Alligator mississippiensis: one gene and its partner. The protein of the gene in region 2 purifies or fractionates together with the protein of the main gene of each other region. This does not show direct contact. Links are inferred from orthologs where the notes say so. Each region holds a gene or a part of one and is shown on either strand. Other genes may lie near its edges.

What was found.
Region 1: the proteins of TMEM63B (region 2) and CXCR4 purify together in Homo sapiens (co-immunoprecipitation; 3 studies listed by BioGRID and IntAct, with this or other methods). This does not show direct contact. The link is inferred for Alligator mississippiensis from reciprocal best matches to the Homo sapiens genes TMEM63B and CXCR4.

Annotation. Positions count from the first base shown.
Region 1 is NC_081827.1:237,449,661-237,459,081, reverse strand, and holds CXCR4 (C-X-C chemokine receptor type 4), read right to left. Parts: upstream 4,290-9,421; 5' UTR 4,219-4,289; coding exon 4,195-4,218; intron 2,910-4,194; coding exon 1,851-2,909; 3' UTR 1,276-1,850; downstream 1-1,275.
Region 2 is NC_081824.1:169,491,170-169,500,503, reverse strand, and holds the start of TMEM63B (CSC1-like protein 2), read right to left. Parts: upstream 3,940-9,334; 5' UTR 3,820-3,939; intron 1-3,819. Other genes in the region: MRPL14 (large ribosomal subunit protein uL14m), read left to right, coding at 4,043-4,085. UniProt on the Homo sapiens protein: Mechanosensitive cation channel with low conductance and high activation threshold. Osmosensitive cation channel preferentially activated by hypotonic stress.

The DNA of each region.
Region 1 (9,421 bases), on a different chromosome or scaffold from region 2:
CAGAAAATCTGGATCCCACCAGGGTGTAGAGTAGACAGTTCTGTAGCAAGGACAGAAAAAAAAGCTGTTTCACAAAGGGAACAGCTTGCCATCTTTGTTTTTACTCACAATAAAATGCCTTTCTAGTAAAGATCTTGATTGTTACTGAGACTTATTTTTGGCATATGAAACTACCAGTTTTAACACTACAGCTTACTGGTAGTAAAGTGAAGCATTTGACCTTATAAGCATGACAAGAGTTTTTTTTTTTTAACTTTATGAATGGACAAGACATGTCTGCCCCTCTCTTGGAAGGATTGTCCTTGTTCAAGTATCCTATATCTTTATTTTGAGGAATGGAAGGTGGGAACCTGGCCCTGACCAGTAAAGCACATAATTTCAGTGGGTTTATTCAGAGTTAAGCACGTGTTGAAATTCTTTCCTGGACTGATGACTATTTCCATGTATTCTCTGGTGTATGATGTATACTGTGGGCTTAATCTATCACTACAGATGCCAGTGACAACCTCATGTTGTTTATGTATGATAGTGCAACTATATTGTACTTACAGGGGATGAACACTTAGAAAGAGATGGGAATTAAATCAAGAAAACCCAAATGTTCAGTAGCGTTTGTATTAGATTACATTCTAATTGTACTAATAAACATTTCATTTTTTCAAGGCGAATGTTATATAAAAAGTGGGTATTTAATGTGGACTGTATATAATTACATGCAGCATTACATTTCCTTCCCGTATAGCTAAACTGGTAATCTGATTTTTTGCACTCTTTACAAAAATACTTACCATGTTCAGTTTGAATGTTTTAGGTGTTCTCTTGACTGAAGTGAGCTTCTGTAATCCTCCTCAGATCCCTAAGAGGCTGGCAAAATCTGGCATGTATTTAATAGATTTTTTTGGTGCATAAAGTTATCATAAAGAGAACTTGGGTTCTAGTAGCCAAAAATAGTTGAACTGAAGTGGGGTTGAACTGTTGAAGAGAACGTCGACTGCAGTGGGCTTGTCTTCTCATGGAAATAACAAGTGATATAACAAATAAATCCAGACAGATTAAATGCCATGGGCAGCGCAAGTGCCTATTTCTGAGATTGTCTATTGATGAGACAGACAAACAATCCATGTGAAACCTTGTATTTTCCTCTAGGTACATCAGGCAAACTATGTTTGTTTCAAAGACATGTTACCCCAGCATTAAGTAACTGGAAATCAAAGTAGCACAGTAATAAGATAAAAAGTAAATTGAATTAAAGGTTAAATGAAAGTATCACTCAAATTCTGTTTGTATCATATGTTTTTATTAACAACCTTACACAACAGAGTTGTGCAAACCAAACCAATATTGAGAACTGAAAAAAAATATCTAGCATATGACAAAGAAGGCTTTGGTTATAAGTGCCACTGTCTACAGCAGAATTAAACTATTGTAAACCAAACAACTTACAGTAAAGGGAAAAATTCTGGAACATCAATCACAAGTTTAGGAATTTTTAAACAGCAAAACTCAAAAATATGTACATACAAACAATCAAACATTTTTATACATTTTAAACATGTCACTTGCTACACTCCTAGAAGTGTTTAGTTCACATACCTATACAACCAGAAAAAGCACTGAAACTTTGTGAACTAACCACTTGTCCACAGGTCCTGCCTAGACACTTTGTCATAATTATGGAAGCGTTTATATAAATAAGTCAATTAAATTCACAGAAGCTAAAAGAAACAATATAAAACTCCAGCTGTATATAAATCTGTACATTATAGTCAGTCTTGTTTTTTCAGAAATCTTGTGTATCTTCTTTAAAAAAAAATTGTTCTTTATTGTAAAATGTTGGCAATGAGACAGCGTTAGCTGGAATGGAAACTTGAAGACTCTGATTCTGTAGAAACAGAAGAATGTCCTGCACGTTTGCCTTTTGAAAGGATTTTTAGGCTCGATCCTCTGCTAACTGATGTCAAAGCATTCTGCGCTGATGTTTTGAATTTGGCACCCAGGAAGGCATAAAGAATTGGATTCAAGCAACAGTGGAAAAATGCTAGGGCTTCTGTAATGGAGATCCATTTGGTCACCATTGTCTCAAAACTGCACCGTGGTCTGAAGACCCCTAGCAAGATGAAGGTGTCAATGCTGATGCCAATGTAGTAAGGGAGCCAGCAAGCAAAGAAAGCAAGGATGAGAATGACAGTAGTCTTCAATGCTTTGCGCTTTTGGTGACCTTTTGAGTGTGACAGCTTAGAAATGATAATACAGTAGCAAATCAGGATTATTAGACCAGGCAGAACAAGTCCTACCAAGATATGTTGAAATCTGAAAGAAATCAGCCAGTTGTCATGAGGGTATATGCGGTCACAAAGGTACTTTTCTCCTACTTCAGTAGTTTTGGCAAAGATTAGATCAGGCACTGTCAAAAGCAGAGCTGGAAGCCACACACCTATATATACTACTTTTTCAGCGAGCAGCTTTCTTGGTCTTTGGCTATTGGTAGCATGGACTATAGCCAGGTAACGATCTAAGCTTATAAAGGCCAAAATCAGGACACTGCTGTAGAGGTTGACTGTGTAAATGACATGTATGGCCTTGCAAAGGAACTTCCCGAAGTACCAGCCTATGGCTGCATCCACAGACCAGAATGGCAACGTGATGACAAACAGGAGGTCGGCCACTGACAGGTGCAACCTGTACTTGTCGGTCATGCTTCTCATTTTCTTCTGGTAGCCCATGACAACGATAACCAATCCATTGCCAATGATTCCCGTCAGGAAGATGATGGAGTAGATGGTTGGCAAAAAGATCCGGTTGAAATCAGCATTTTCTTGCCAATAGCATGGCTCTTTAAGGTCAAGTTCACCTGAACCAACCTCATCGGTGCCATTATCAGGGAATTCAAAGGAGACCCCAGAAGACCACTGCAATAATAAAAGTAAAAAAAGAACAGCTGTTAGCTCCAGCTCATCCAAGACACTTCACAATACAGAGAAGCCAAGTAAAGCTTTGACCCCTAGGGGGATAGAAGAATGAATTAAGTGCCTGGGAAACAGTGATGGTGATGAAGGATAACTGCATTTCCCCACCATGTCATTCTATAGAGCAGTGGTTCTCAAACTTTTTTTTTTTCACAGAAAAAATTGCTGAGGGTCTCGGCGGACCACTTAAAACTTTTTTTTGTTCTACAAATCAAAGCACACAACTCCTATTTTAATACCTTACAAGCAAAGATATTCTCAATCGTCCCACAACCTTTGTGCGGACCACCTGAACGGACCTTGCGGACCAGCGGCCACAGACCACAGTCTGAGAACCTCTGCTCTACCGTTCAGTGCTGACAGTGGGCCCTCCCCCGTGAGAAACGGGAGAGACCTACTGGATCGCCCAAGTCCAGTAGGTCCCAGTTTTATCCTTTGACCCTAACTGACTTCCTGCCCCTGGGGCAGGGGGCTGGACTCGATGATCTTCCGAGGTCCCTTCCAGCCCTGACCTCTATGAAATCTATGAAATCCAGAGGTTCCCAAACATCACCCCCGCTTGCAGCTTCCCGGCACGCCCCAAAGCAGCATCTGTTTTACGTTTTCACCCCTTACATGCCACTGTTCTAACGAGAGTCAAGTCTCCTGCCTGCCCCACTGAGATGTGTCCGCCTAGACCATCTCCTACCACTTTCCCAAGGATGCCAGTCCAGGCAGTGGTTTCGCTTGCTCATTAGGTGCAGAAGTACGGGGAGCAAACCCGCTTGTGCCCGCTGCGGGCTGCATCTGTAGTGCTGGGAGCCCGGCAGGGAGGAGGGGAATCCCGGGCAGGAGGAGGAGGAGGGGATCCCTGCCTAGCAGCATAGGAGCCCGGGGGAGCCGGGCAGAAGCGTCCCGTGCAAACGGGTAGCGAAAGCAGCGCGGCGGGAAATCACCAACGCTCCGGACTCCCGGCGTGAAACTCCCGCCTCGCCCCCGGGCTCCGGCCACGTGCCGCCCCTGCTCCGGGCAGCGCCTGCATGCATGTTGTGGGGGAGGGAGTGGGGGTTCACCTCCGGGCAGCATCTGCCGGGGCCGGGCTGAGCCCCGTTGGCACCCGCGCCGTCTCCTCCCCGCCGGGAGCCGGGCTCCTGCCCTGCCTTGCCCGCGCCTCCCCGCCGGGGCTGCAGCCCGCCCGCCCGCCCGCCCGCCCGCTCACACGTGGCCCCTTGCCCAGCGCCGCGCTCACCCCGTCCAGCCCGTCCAGCTCCATGCTGCCGCCCCAGCGTCCTGCGGAGCACGCCCCGCGCCGCCCCGGCTCTTATCGTCTCCGCCGCACCCGGCCCGCCTGGCTCCTCCCCGCGGGGCCGGCCCTGCCCTGCCCCGCCGCCCCGCGCTGGGTGGGGCCGTGCCCGTCCCGGGGATGGCAGCCCATTGCAAAGTGAAGGGCGCGCGATTGAATTGAGCCCGGCTGGGCTGGGCTGGGTTGGGCCGGCCCGCGCGGGGCCGGGGGCACCTGCTGGCTGGGGAGCGGCCCGGACACCCCGAGCGAGAGAGAGGGGACATGAGTGAGCAGCGCGCTGCCCCTTCTCCGCCGGGGTCTCTCCTCCGCGAGGTCCCGTGCTTGTCGGCCGTGGAGCCGGCCTGCGCTCGGGACTCTGCGGCGGCACAGGGCGGGATGATGACTGAGCAGCTCGTGGGCTGAGAGGGGCAGGCAGGCAGGCAGACGGCAAGGGAAGGAAAGGAAAGGGAAAACAGAAAAGCAGCATCTGTGATCGGTGTTCACATTTCCATCGCCAGTGCAGCTGTGTGATTAAAACCTCTAAATACAAAGCATGGGCGACTGGTGCCTCCTGAGTTGGGAGGGGCACTTGCCCCCCCGCATCCAGTCGGCAACTAGGGGGGGTCCCCCCAATGGCTGATCACAACAAGTGCCAGGGGCGCTTTTCCTGGAGCCCCCACCCCCTCACCAGCGTGCTTAGGGGGACACTGCCCCCCCCCCCGCCTATCACCTAAGCGGGGTACGCTGGCTGTCGGGGTGCACCAGCACTCTTGGGGTGCACATGCACCCCTGTGCACCCTCTACACCACTGATACAAAGGCTTCCCACTGGCCGGGCACCTTTGGAGCAGCTCCTACTCCTGGTTCAAAGTTGAAAGCATTGACTGTGGGCCAGATTGAATGAAAAGTTCAGCACAAGCCACCAAAAAGTTGCCATTTCATTTGGGTGCCTCAGTACTGGAGCTCTATGGAAAATCTGGCTCTGAGTTGCCAGAAGTTAGGATGTTAACAGGTGTGTTTTGATGGAGAATGTGTTCTGGGAAAGACAGAGAAGGTCAGGTGTGGACTCCAGCTGCATACCTGGTACATCTACAGTATGTTTTGCTGCCTCTCCTGGGGCTGAAACTATGACCAACAGACTTGCAGACAAGCTGAAAAAAACCTTAGGGGTATCACAGATTTTAAGACTAGGTACAGAAGTTTGAGGGCCAGTGTACTAGTTAATAGGAAAGGCATACTGGATGTATTAGAGATGTATGGTTTGTCTACACAGAAAAATGAGGGTGTAGGCATGTGTGGATTGTCATATATGTACTAGATTGAATGTAGATAGCAAGAACAACAACAGCAATGCAGATGTGGGATTACAGACTCTAAAGCAGTGGTGGCTAGCCTGCGGCACAAGTGGTAGGCAGCAGATGGGCAGCTTCTTTGTGTGGTAGGGAACAGATGTGGGAGGAGACAGGCAGCACAACAGCAGGTAGAGCAGGAAGCAGAAGGTAAAGGCGGAGATCAGGCAGGGAGTACAGGTGGGAAACAGAAAGTAGACCAGGAGACTGGGTGGGGAGAACAGAGTATGGAGCGAAAAGCAGAGCAGCACATTGGGCAAAGGAGGGAGATTGGAGTGGCTTTTGGGGAGGTTATGGTGCTAGTTTGTGGTATGCAAAAAGATTGACCCCCACTGCTCTAGAGCATGTTGGTAGTGGGTTTATGATGTATTTGTATTGCTAACTTGAGCTGAAGCCCATTTTACCTCTGCTATTGTTCCCTTTGCTGGATTAAAGTGAGTTTACTCTGCTATTACTATTTCAGTTTACTACGGAGGTTTAGGGTCAGTGTGAGAAGTGGGAAGTGGTTTCTTGAAATAATTGAATGAATGACATTAAATTGCACTAGGACATATATACGAAGGTTGGGGTTGAGGGATGTCTTAGCTCCTGGAACTGTGGTTCTGAATTCTGATAGCATGCACAGATTATGCAGGACAGGGGTGCCCACTCTTTGGCCCACAGGTCAGATGCAGCCTGCAAACCCAGTGCATCTGGCATGCAGGGCCCCTAATGGGGCAGGAAATTTGGTGGCAGGGAAGCAGTGTCCATTAATACAGACATCCTCTCTTCACCAAATTCCCAAACTCCAAGCTCTGCATGGCTGGTTGCAGCCAGGCCTCACCCTTTCCCCTGCATCTGGACCAGGGGCTGAGTCACACCCCCTCCCAGCCACAGGCTAGGTTGATGCCAGGTTATGTGCACTTCCCTTCCTGCAGAGCTGGGATACATCCCCTTGCCCCTGTCCTGGGGCCAAGCCATGACCTCTTTTTCCCCTTAGGGCCAGATTGGGGCCATGACTCCCTCCATGGGGGCAAGCCACACCCGCTTTATCCCTATGGGGCCAAGCCATGTCCTCTTTCTCTGCAGGGCTGGGTTGCAGTTGGGTTGCTCCGCATCCCCCTCTGCATTGCTGGATGGTGCCCACCATGCTGGGCCCGGTGCCAGATTGAGAGCTGCGCAATCCAGCCCATCCAGCCAGCTGGGGAAAAAAGGTTGAGCACTACTGAAGTAGGATATTTGAAGATTGGCCAAATGGGATAGCACTGGAGTACAGACTCCCTGAATCCAGCATAAATCTAGATCAGTGATTCTCAACCAGGGTGCTGTGACATGCTGCGTACCTTGATACCCTTTCTAGGGTGTCACAGGGTGCCATGCAGTATTAGCACTGTTAGGTGGGCAAACAACTCGCACGATAAACCCATAGACATTTCAAATAGGAATCCATAATGTTGAAGACATTCTAACCTGTTGTGGTCTTTCTGAGTTCATTGCAACAGAAGAATTGCTCTATTATTTTCTTAAAAAAAACAGCGAAAACCAGGAGTTGGCATTTTTTTGAATGGTGCCTTGCATCTATTGAGGGGTACCTCTAGTCTAAAAGGGCTGAGAACCACTGATCTAGATGTGTTGTATCTATAGTTGCTTTTCTTTGCCCTACCAAAAATGCATGTGAAAACTTCTTTTGTTGTAAGGGGGACTGCAGTGTGAGGGTTAATGATTTCCAAAGTGATAAAAGAAGCATGTAATTCAATGAGTGAGCTACAAATCTTCAAGAGACAGTGCAAGCAAATAGCAATTTACAAGCTAATGTATTGCACTAAATGTTTTTCTGATGAGAAAATTACTGTGGAAATCAGGTCCCTCCCAACACAGTGTGCATTTGTTTCATAAAAACATGCAATTTGGGAAGTGAAATCCTACATATTCTTAAACTATAGTGCAAGCAACCAAGGTCCTCAGGTTGTGAATCATTAACATGGATTTTGTCTGCTAAAAAGAAATATCTATGTCTGTCAATGAAGAGTAAAATTGTTCCTGATATATTTAGTTGAAAAACTAGTTATAAAGCATGTTTCCAGAGAGCCAGAGTAGAAAAATAATTTATATTTAATTATTGTGTGGGTTACCTCATTTAAGGAGTTGAATGTGATCTTAGGGAAGCAAAGTTTCAGCTAATGAAATGCTGATTACACAGTTCTGTGGGTAGGGCACCTAGTACACGTGGGTGCTAATCCCTGATTTATGCTGTGTAGATACCACCACAATGCACACAAATAGTAATAGTCTGTATCATGCTATGTGAATTAACTGCTCCTCAGTTTGTAAGGTGCTACACTGCTGTCTTCACATATGTTTCTTAATATATAGGCAGAAGGCAGGGTAGAATTGCACTTTATAGACTAACTAAAGCAGAGATGTATAGCATAAGCCTCCATGAGACCCAGCTTTACTTTGTCATTTGCTAATTAATTCAAAGACTCATGCTATACATCTATGATTCAGTTAGTCTCTACTGTGCAAATCTACCCTTGCTTCTGCCTGACTTGAGACTAACACGGCTAACTACCTCTCTCTTCAGTATATATCCATACATATACATACACTATTAATCTGCCTAAATTACTATGCCATTTATTATAGATGCATTTTTAACTACTCACATAAGCATATACAAACCCAGTATATTTTAGGGTTTTATAAAATAGCCTTTGAGGTAGAAAAAATACATACTGGATTAAAAAAAAAGGCAGGAAATCTGCCCAGAATTATTGTTTATGTTTGGGAAGAAGTTTGGGGAAGAAAGGATAGTTTCTTATACAAAGGAGAGGGATCTGGTGTTAAGGAACAGGCTGGCTATTGTAATGGGGGCAGAGCAGGGCAGCGGGGCAGGAACATCCCTGATCTCACCTGCTCCAGTTAGGAGCAAATTTTCTCCCAAGTCAGTGCATGTTTAGACCCTTTCTCTGAGGGCAATTTACTTCTCCTTTTTAATATGCAGTAACTACTGTGGATGAATACCATGTGTAGATGTGCCCCCCATAATTCTTCCTATAGTTACTTGTTTGGGAGCTTAACAAACAAAACAACAGGAAATGCAGAGAAGGCAAAACATTTGTTTCAGTTGGGGTCGTATCATGTGCCATAATAATGACACTGTGCAAAGGCGTGTTGTTCAATTGTTTCTTATGGAGCAAATTAAAGTAAAAGCTTTAGCATCCTTAAAAGACAACAGAATATGACATTTATGGCGTAAGGGAGTACACCTAGTTGCTTCCTGCCTTTGAGAGGACTGAAATTGGCCCGGTGTGTGCATGATGGTAATTAATTTAGGTTTCCTTCAAGTATTCCTTGCCTGGACCTCCACTGGGTTAAGATCTTAATGGTCTGCCCAGAAAAGATGAGCCTAATAATAATACTCTTATTATTTAATCATAATCTAATAATACTCATATTATTTGTGCTCTAATCCCATCTCCATCTGTAGCCTAAAGCAAATCACTTAACCTCTCTGCTGTGTTCACTCAACTGTAAAATGTGGGTAAGAGTACTTACTTACCTGCCTCGGAGGAGTGTTGTAGGGACTAATTGTTTGATGTTTGGAAGGCCCTTTGAAGATGGAAAGTAGTTATTTTAGACCCTGTTGATATTATTGGTGACACTGATCAGCCCAAACTCAAAGGAGATTAAACTCATTAAAGTTCTGATCTTTTTTCCTTTTGGTGGTGTTGATGGGTAGGAAAATCTGCTTGCATGTGGATAGTTTATTGTTTGTTTGGAAGCAGAGTTGGGTGGATTGACTCTGAAGAGACTCTTTGAACAACTTTGTTAATCCTTTTAAAAACATGTTTGCATTTGCATGTC
Region 2 (9,334 bases):
GACTTTGTCAGAAGCCTCATGTTGTCTGCCACTCCTCTTAATGCCCTTGCTCCTAGAAGCAGGGTATTGGATACGAAATGCAGCCTTTCCACTTATATCTTGAGTTAGCGTCCAGTCTCTCAGGCCTTGTCTACCTCATTTCTGCGCAGTGTGCAGGATCCCTGTCCAAATTGCCCATCTGCGTCCACTCCACATGTGCCAAAGCCCGGGAATAAGGCAGGGGAGCCTCCCTGAGCGGCCCGACTACAGGCCTTGCACTGCTCTGAGGCTCACCATCTCTAGGTTGCTTATTGGCACTGCCAGTCTAAGACGGCTACACTGCCTACTTTCAGGACTTAGCAAGTGCAAGTGGGAGTGAGTGAGTGGTGCACCTAGGTGATATAGACAAGTCTACAACAGCTGAGGGAAGCTCAAAAAAATGAGCTGAAGTTACAGCAAAGGCTGTGAAGGCAGAGAGAAAAAAACCTAGTGCTGGTTATTTTTAAGCCAGTTGCATGATTTTTATTTTGATCTGACTCATTTTTTTGGGAACATTTGCGGAGGACAGAACTGTGTGCTGGTCAAAAGGGAAGAAGATATCAACATGCAAAGCCCCCTGACAGATCTCTTGATGACAAAACCAACACACTCAAAAAGTCCTGTAGTCAGCTTCTTTCAAAATCACTTAGCATAGGAAGTAATGGAGAGACGGAACTTTGTGCAACAGAACCCGCTCCCTTGGCCTGCTGGGGTCTTTTCCTAAGCCCCTCAATCTTCTCTTCTGCATGTAACTCCCACCTGTGCTAACCAGACATCTTCCCCAACCCCCCACATCCTGCTACAGAGAATATGCTGAAGACTGAAAGATTCAGGGGAAAAGGCTTTTCCTAGGTAAGATGCAAGTTAATTGCAGTCATTAAAGGTAATGTCCTTAATGCTTTGCTATTTCTGGTGCATGCAGAGTCCTCCTGGAGTTACTTATCAGCTGAATGATTGGCTCTGCACAGAATCAGAAACATTAGAGAAGGATAAAAAGCTATTAGAGCTCATATGGTTCAACCACTGTGCCCATCTGAGGAGGAATGTATCCTTGCAATGGTATTTTCCAAGGCCTTGTCCAGGGCAGGGGCATGGTACCTGCAGAAGTCTGAGACACTGTCCTCATGGGGACCACCATGCCAGTACTAGGTTGCATCACTTAGTTTGTGACCATGGGGCCTCAGATGTCACAAAGACTATGATGAAATGGACTACTTCAAAAGCCAGAACAAAAGACAACAGATGGATTTGGGATGGGGAGGCTCCTAGTACAGCACATATATCTACACCAGGATTTCCCTCAGATCAACTCTGGGCTTCAGGCTTTGTGGCTGGTTTCAGGCATGGCTTTTTTGCCCAGCCACCCTTCACAGGACTACACCACACTCCATGCCACTCCCTGCCCTCAATTTGGTTGCGAGTTCTCTAACATCCAATGGATATCGGGTTATGTAATACTTGTAGCAGGTGACTTACGCCCAATGCTACACACACTGATAAGGTTGCGCTGTGTGGGGGAAGATTAGGATTAGAGCAGAGAATTTAAAAACAGCTACTGAGGGCCTCAGCTCTGGTTCTGTCGTTACTTTGTTGTATGGCTGTGGGCAAGTCCTTTACCCTCTGTGTCTCAGTTTCCCATCTTTGTCAAGTGCTCCATGGCTCCTGGGTGAAAGGTGCCAGAAGTGCCAAGCATTATTATGCTCCCCATAAGCCCTAGGCATCTGCCAGTCTCTCCTGTCCTCCTGCAAGTCCCACAATTCTTGCTTCTCTTTGGCTACTCTTGACCACCACAATGATACAGCAGGAGAGAAAGGCTGGTTGCACACCACAGGTTTATAGGTCAATACCTCATATTTCATTTCAAAGTGAAAGGATCAGCCAGCATCATCTTTGAGGAAAGCAGTGCAGTGATCCCTGCAGCTCTACCAGTCAGTCTGTGTCAATTGGACATCCCACGGGCAGCCTTATACAGAGGACAGTACTATGGTTCTATCTAAAAGAGGCGAGACAGACCTACAGCATCAACCTGTCTTTTGTCTGCCACCAGGAGAAGGGCGTCAGGCAATACCAAGCCTATTAGCACAGGAAACTGGCACCCTGTCTTCCCAAAGGGAAATGTCAACTATTATTTATAACCAACAAATGAGCTGACAAGCCTCCTTTTGATTTCACTGGGGGGGGGGGGGGGGAATGGGGAGAAGGCAGGGTACAGGGAAACTTGGATGAATTCTGTTATATAGAAATAAATTTTATAGTATTTGCCCTGCAGATAAGACCGCTTCAGCATTCTCAGTACCTCTGCATGACACCTACTTAAATCATGATTTATATAAAAGGTAAGATGCTATGCACCACCACTCATGCAATTTATCATAGGGATGGGGTCCTTTGATGCACATTTAGGCACCAGCTTTTCATCAGGAAAACAGTTTTTTGCATTGCTTTGCAGCTGCAACACAGCTTGGTGTTCCATGGCTTGTAGGCATCCACACGCCACTCCCGGCACCACAAACCCTCGGGGCTCCTTACTAACCCAAGGGTCTGCCCCCCTATGCCTGCCAACTGTAGAATGACAGCTCTAAAGGCTAAGTTCCCTGAGGCAGTGACCCCATCTGTTATTTAAGCAGAGCTAAAGCAATCATGAGTCCAGCATGCTCGACCATCAGGACTCCCGCAAAACAGAAAAGATGGCATTTTGTTTCTAATGCTCCCCACCTTTAAAAAATGTAGGCTGCGTAATATTCCTGTGCGAAATGCATGACGCTAATAAGCCAATGCCCCGATACCCCTTTCGAGTCCCAGCCTCTCAAGCAAGCACTGAATTCAGAACCAACACATTCAGCATAGCGACGGCCAACCAATCCTACCACAGCTCCCACAGACCCACTCTGGGATGCTCCATTCACGCCCCTCCGTTTCTCCATCCATCAGCTACCCCTCCCCATCCACAGCCCTCCCTCTTCCTTTTTAAAATGCCATTAGCCCCCTGACATACACCCAACATCCTGCAAAAGGGCATTTTTAAGAGACATATATTTATTAAGCCATTCCCAATTCCAGCACAGCGAAAAGGGATGTAAAATGGCACAGAAATCTTTAATGTTTTATGGCTCAGTAAATATTCAACATTTTTCGCATACTATGTGTGTGTGTGTGTGTGCACGAGCACCAGGCAGTACATACATCTATACGTGCATGTATGCAGGTATGCGTGTGTGCAGGTATGCACCAGGCATATATATGTGTGAGTGTGCATATGTATGTATGTATGCATGCCAGGCATATATACATGTGCGCACACATGTGTGCACATGCACAGGCATATACATATACATGTATGTGTGTGTGTGGATGTGAATGCTTGTATCTATGTGCACGTAGGTGTGCATGTATGTATGTATGTATACGTGTGTGCCTACGTGTAGGCGTGGGTCGGTCCGTTTCGCAACACGAACAACTAACCCGATTCCCTCCGCAGCGAGGCAGGGGCACACAGCAGGGATGGGGCCGGGCACTACAGGCAGTGCCAGCCAGCCCCCTTGCACCGGCCCAGGGCAAGGGCGACGACCTCCGCTGGGAGAGAGGGAGCGGCATCACCCGCCCCCCACCCCGAGCACAGCACGCGGCGGCGGCTCCGCACCGATCCTGCGGCAGGGGAGAGGAGCGAGCGGGCGGCTGCAGTGGCGACCGCCCTTAGTGCGCGGAGGCAGCCCGGGGACATGCCCGCGCCGCACCCCGCCCGGGTGTGCAAAGGGTCCCCCCCCCCGACAAGAATCGTGCTGCGGAGCCGGGCCCGCTTACCACGCCTGCCGTGCCAAGCCGAGCCGAGCCGTGCCGTGGGGCGGTACAGACGCCCCGCGCCCAGCGCTGCGAGCAGCCGGAGCTCCGCGGCCCGGGCTGGCGGCGCGAGCGGGGGGCGGGGCCGCGCCTGGCGCAGGGGAGGAGGGAGGAGGAAGGGGGCTGGGCGTCGGGAGGAGCCGGCTGCGCATGCGCTTGGTAAGGGGGGGTTGTGGGTTCTGCGCGCATGCGTGTTAGGGAGGGGGTGCTGCTGTGGATCCTCGTGGCCTGTAAGTGCTGGAGCGGGATTTGGGCGCGGGACTTGCAACAAGCTGCGTCTCGGGGGAGTCCTGCCTTGCCCCTGCCCCTGCCGGAGGGTGCCCCGCTCCTGCCCCTGTGGGGGGGTTGCATTTGCGCAGGCAGGCGATGCATGTGCCTGTGGGGGTCCGCTTTTCCACTGCTTCACCCTCCTGCTGGCTCCTCCTGGCCTTTGCCAAGTCAAGGGGCTGCCCACTGCACAGCCGAGGTCCTGAGGAGATGCCTCCACCTCCCCCTTGTGCTGCCATATTTTCTCACCTACAGTGTATGCTTACCGCCCCCCACCTTCAAAATCACCCCTCTCCATACCCCACATGGAGGGGGGGAGGTGTATTAAGGACGGAGCTGGTTTTCTGGCTGTGGTAGAAGCACTTTGCTTTGATTCTTGTGTCTGGGCAGCGGGAGGGTCCCTGGGGACTGCAGGGCTACTTTTCTTGCCCCGCATTGTTCCTGTGTCCTAGCAGAGGAGCACTGGGCAGTGTCCGTTGGCTCCTTGGACTTGCTTGAGGGTCAGTGGGAGCTGCCTGGTGTGCACTGCTCGGTGCCCCCTCTTAGCACTCTTGTTATGAAGCTTTGACCTCCACTCCTGTTCCTCTTTTTATTACTATTTGTCCCACGTATTCAATTGTCAATTGTCACCTTTCCTGTAGCCTCCCTGCCTGCGGGAGGTCAGTAAGTTACTTGGTGGGCCTAGACCCGTGCTCCTTAAGGTGACAAATAGGCCTGTGTCCAGGGAGTCCTGGCTGTAGCCAAGCTGGCCATACACCTGACCTGGACGGAGGCTCTGGCTGGGGGTGACCACCAGGGACTGCAGGGGGCTGGACTTAATGATCCTTTGGGGTCCCTTCCAGCCCAAATGTCTATGAAGTCTATGTCCACTGACTTCTTGGACTTACTCTAGGGCCAGTGGGCACTGGCCCACGTGCTCTGCTTGGTGTCCCACCCTTGATGCACCCATTTTAAACCTTTGACCTTCACTTATCCCTGTTTTGCTTTCCTTTTATCCCAAGAAATTAGTTATTTTCTCAGTGGCCTCCCTTTCTTCTTGGTAGGCAATGGCCCATGATCCCTTGAAAGTAACCAATAGGCCTGTCTCTGGGCGGTTTCACTGGGCGGAGTCCACTGGCTCCTTGGACTCATTTGGGAGCCAGTGAGCAATGCTCAGTGTCCCTCTTTGGAGCACTTGTTATAAACCTTTGACCTTCACTCCTGTCTCTGTTTTCATTCTTAGTTGTCCCCAGCAATTAGTTGATGTTCGCTTAGTGCCCCCACCCTTACTGAAAGGAGCTTATGGACTTACTTAGTGGGCATTGGCCCATATTCCCCTATGCATGTTGAAAAGGCCTGGTGCAGCAGCTGTCCCTCATCTGTTCATGTCTCCCAGCAGTTCCACTGGCCAGTGGCCACTGGTTCCTCGGACTCTCAAGGGTCAGTGGGCACTGGCCAGTGTATTCTGCCCAATCTCCCTTTCTAGCTCCCTTGTTATTAACCTGTGACCTTCACTCCCTTCTTGTTTTCTTATGATTTGTCCCAAGAAATCAGTTGCTACATTTTTAGTGGCCTCCCTGTGTAAGAGGGCTTATAATTTCTTGGTGAGTTTTGGCCCACAAACTCCTTGATGTAGCAAAAAGGCCTAATGTGTCAGCTATCCTGCATCCATTAGTGTCTCCACGCAGTTTCACTGCGTAGTGTCCACATGTTCTTTGGACTTGCTTGAGGGCCAGTGGATGCTGGCTGGGGTGCTCTACTCAGTGTCCCCCTTGGTGCTCCTGTGATCACACTTTAACCCCCCCCCCCTCCATCTCTGTTGCCCCTTAGAAGCTGTTGATTGCACACCTAGTGACCCCCTCTAATAATAGGTGGGGGACTAGTAGTTAATTTGTGGGCTTCTGCCCAGGTTCCCTATATGATTCAAATAGGGCTAGTACAGCAGCTGTGGCACTAGTATTCAGTCAGCTGAGGGAGTCAGTTGTCTTAATGGCTCAGTGTTCTTTATTCCAGAGGCATTAAGATAATAGAAAATTAGGGTTGAAAGGGGCCTCAGGAGGTCATCTAGTCCCACCCCCTGCTAAAGGCAGGACCATCCCCAATTAGATCATCCCATCCAAGGGTTTTTGTCTTTCCTTATAAGTCATGTTCCCCAGCCCCCTCTCCATTTTTGTTGCCCTGTGCTGGACCTTCTCCAATTTGCCTACATCCTTTCCAATGGGGGGCCCAAAACTGAACACAGTCCTCCAGATGTGGCCTCACTAGTGCTGAATAGAGGGGAATAGTCACTTTCCATGACCTGCTGGCAATGCTCCTACCAATGCAGCCCAGAATGCCATTAGCCTTCTTTGCAGCAAAGGCACTGCTGGCTGATATTCAGCTTATTATCCACTGTAACCCCCAGGTCCTTTTCGGCAGAGCTGCTGCCCAGCCAGTTGGCCCCCAGCCTGTACTGGTGCATGGAATTGTTCCATCCTAAGTGCAGGACTGTGCACTTGCCCTTGTTGAGCCTCATGAGATTTCTTTTGGCTCAATCCTCCAGTTTGTCTAGGTCCCCCTGAATCCTAGCCCTACCCTCCAGAGTATCTGCTACCTCCACAGCTTTCTGTCACCTGCATACTTGCTGAGGGTGCACTTTATGCCATCTTCCAGGTCACTGATAAAGACATTGAACAAAACTGGCCCCAGGACCAAACCTTGGGGCATTCTATTTGATACTGGCTGCCAACCAGACATTGAGCCATTGATTACTACTCTCTGAGCCTGATGCTCCAACCAGTTTTGTATCCAGCTTACAGTCCATTCATCCAGCCCGTACTCCCTTTGCTTGCCTGTGAGAATGCTGTGGGAGACCATATCAAAAGCCTTGTTAAAATCAAGGTGTGTCACATCCACTGGTCCCCCACACCCGCAAAGCCAGTCACCTCATCATAGAAGGCTATCAGGTTGGTCAGGCATGACTTGCCCTTGGTGAATCCATGCTGATTCTTCCTAATCACTCTTCCTTCTCCTCCAAGTGCATAGAAATGGATTCCTTGAGAACCTGCTCCATGATATGTCCAGGGACTGAGATGACATGGCTGACTGGTTTGTAGTTCCCTGGATCTTCCTTTTTCCCTTTTCTCAAACATGGGCACTATGTTTGCCCTTTGCCAGTCATCCAGGACCTCTCCTGATCACCATGAGTTTTCAAAGATTATGGCCAATGGCTCTGCAATCTCATCAGGTAAACTCTTTCAGCACCCTCAGGTGCATCCCATCTGGCCTCATAGACTTTTATATGTCCAGCTTTTCTAAATAGTCCCTAACCTGTTCTTTTGCCTCTGCTGGCTACTTGCCTCCCCAAATGTGCTGCCTGGTGCAGTAGTCTGGGAGCTGACCTTGCCTGTGAAGACTGAGGCGAAGAAGTCATTGAGCACTTCAGCCTTTCCTTTTTGGTGGTCTTGATGTCCCACTAATCAAAACTAACCTTTCTTGGGGTAGTTTTGCTGTCCATTAGCTGCTCGTGGTCTTTTCTCCTGTTTCACAGCCATGGAGATTCTTTAGCTATTTTCAAAATCCTAGGCCTGCCCATAGAGACCAGTCTTCAGCAGCAGCTTGGATTTCAGTTTTATTTAAGCAGGACAGGAAGGTTGAGTTAGCTGAAGATTAGGGTATGTCCCTACTTAATGCAACCATAACTCTGGAAAAATCTTTTTTTCTTCATTCTGCCTTTCAAAAACAAATATGGTCAGGTTCCCAACTGTGATCAGAACTCTGTTGTGCTCAGTGCTGGACAAACATATTGTTAGGGGCAGGCAATTCCTCGGTGAGCTCTACAGCTGTAGGAAAGATATGAAAAGGGTCTGCGCTAGACACTTTTTTTTCAGTAGTCAAGCATGACTCCAAAAGGGCATGGACAGATGTAACAGGTATACTTGTATAAATTAATCCAATTTAACTATTATGTTCGCATGCTCCTATAGTGGAATTAATGGAATAAAACAATTGTAAATTTACCCATATTTCATTTAGGGTTTAACAGACAGAAATAACATTCACTTGGCATCAGCTGTTATGATGTAATTTATGTTTGTATGCTCCTACTGGCTATAATTTTAGCCCTGAAAGAAAGAAGCAGGGTTAAAGTTACAATGGCTTTGCTACACTTGTATCCCTTGTAGGAATATGCATATATAATGGTTATATTGTAACAATTTATACCTCTTTCATTCCATACCATTATGACTAGGGATCTACTTGACGCAAGACTACACAAAATAATTTGTATGGCTTGGTTGCAGCATGAAGAGCCGATTTCGGAAGCATTTCCTGGCATCCCTGGCCCTTGCCACTGATTGGTGAAGGGTATTGGCATTGCATTTCACTTCTTAAAAGATGGCACTGAAACATTTTCATTTTACTGACTGGCGCCTTCACTTATTCCGAGTCACTTCTCAGACAAACTCTAAATCATGTGATCTATGGCTGCAGTGATTGTCGCATTGTCTTTGTGTTGTGGTAAACAGTAGGACGTTCTAAAACAGTGTATTATATGAATAATATGCTGGGTTGTTGTTTTTTTTAGGTTGATTTTGTGGGAAATTCCAGCCAATGCAATATTTCCTGGCGATTGTAAATAGTGCCATTTTTCGTGGTTTCATGCGTGCCTCAGAACATAGCCTCCCCCTCCCATTTTAAAATGCTTGAAAGTTATAGCTGTCCACAGCCATGTATTGCTTCTAGACTACAAACATTTCATCTTTGTACAGCTCAGTCTAGGACACTACTAAAATGTAGGTAGTGACCACCAGGGGGTATCTGAGACATAAAAAATTATATTACAACCCAGTGCAGAAGAAATCTCTCTCCCTGTGTACTATTATGCTCAAGGTCAAGTCTCTGTGATCTTCTCAAAATACATGTTTATTTAGGTTTAGCTTTATGATCACAGACATTTTCTAATAAATGTAAGGGGGTCATGAAAAGTCTTAGCCTCACCAGTCTGAAAAGGCTGAGAAGTATTGACCTACCATATGTCAGGCTATGTCTGTGCTTTAGAGTTAACTTTAGGGACTATTCCTGTGTTTGAGGACACAGGTTAGCCACTTGTGGATGCGAACAGCCACCCTCTGAAGCAGTGGGGACAATATTTTTTTTTTTTTTTTGCAGGCATGCCACAAATTAGCCCCCCACCCTCCCTCGGTGCCCTCTTATTCTCCTCCCCCTGCTCAATTTGCTGCTCTGCTTTCTG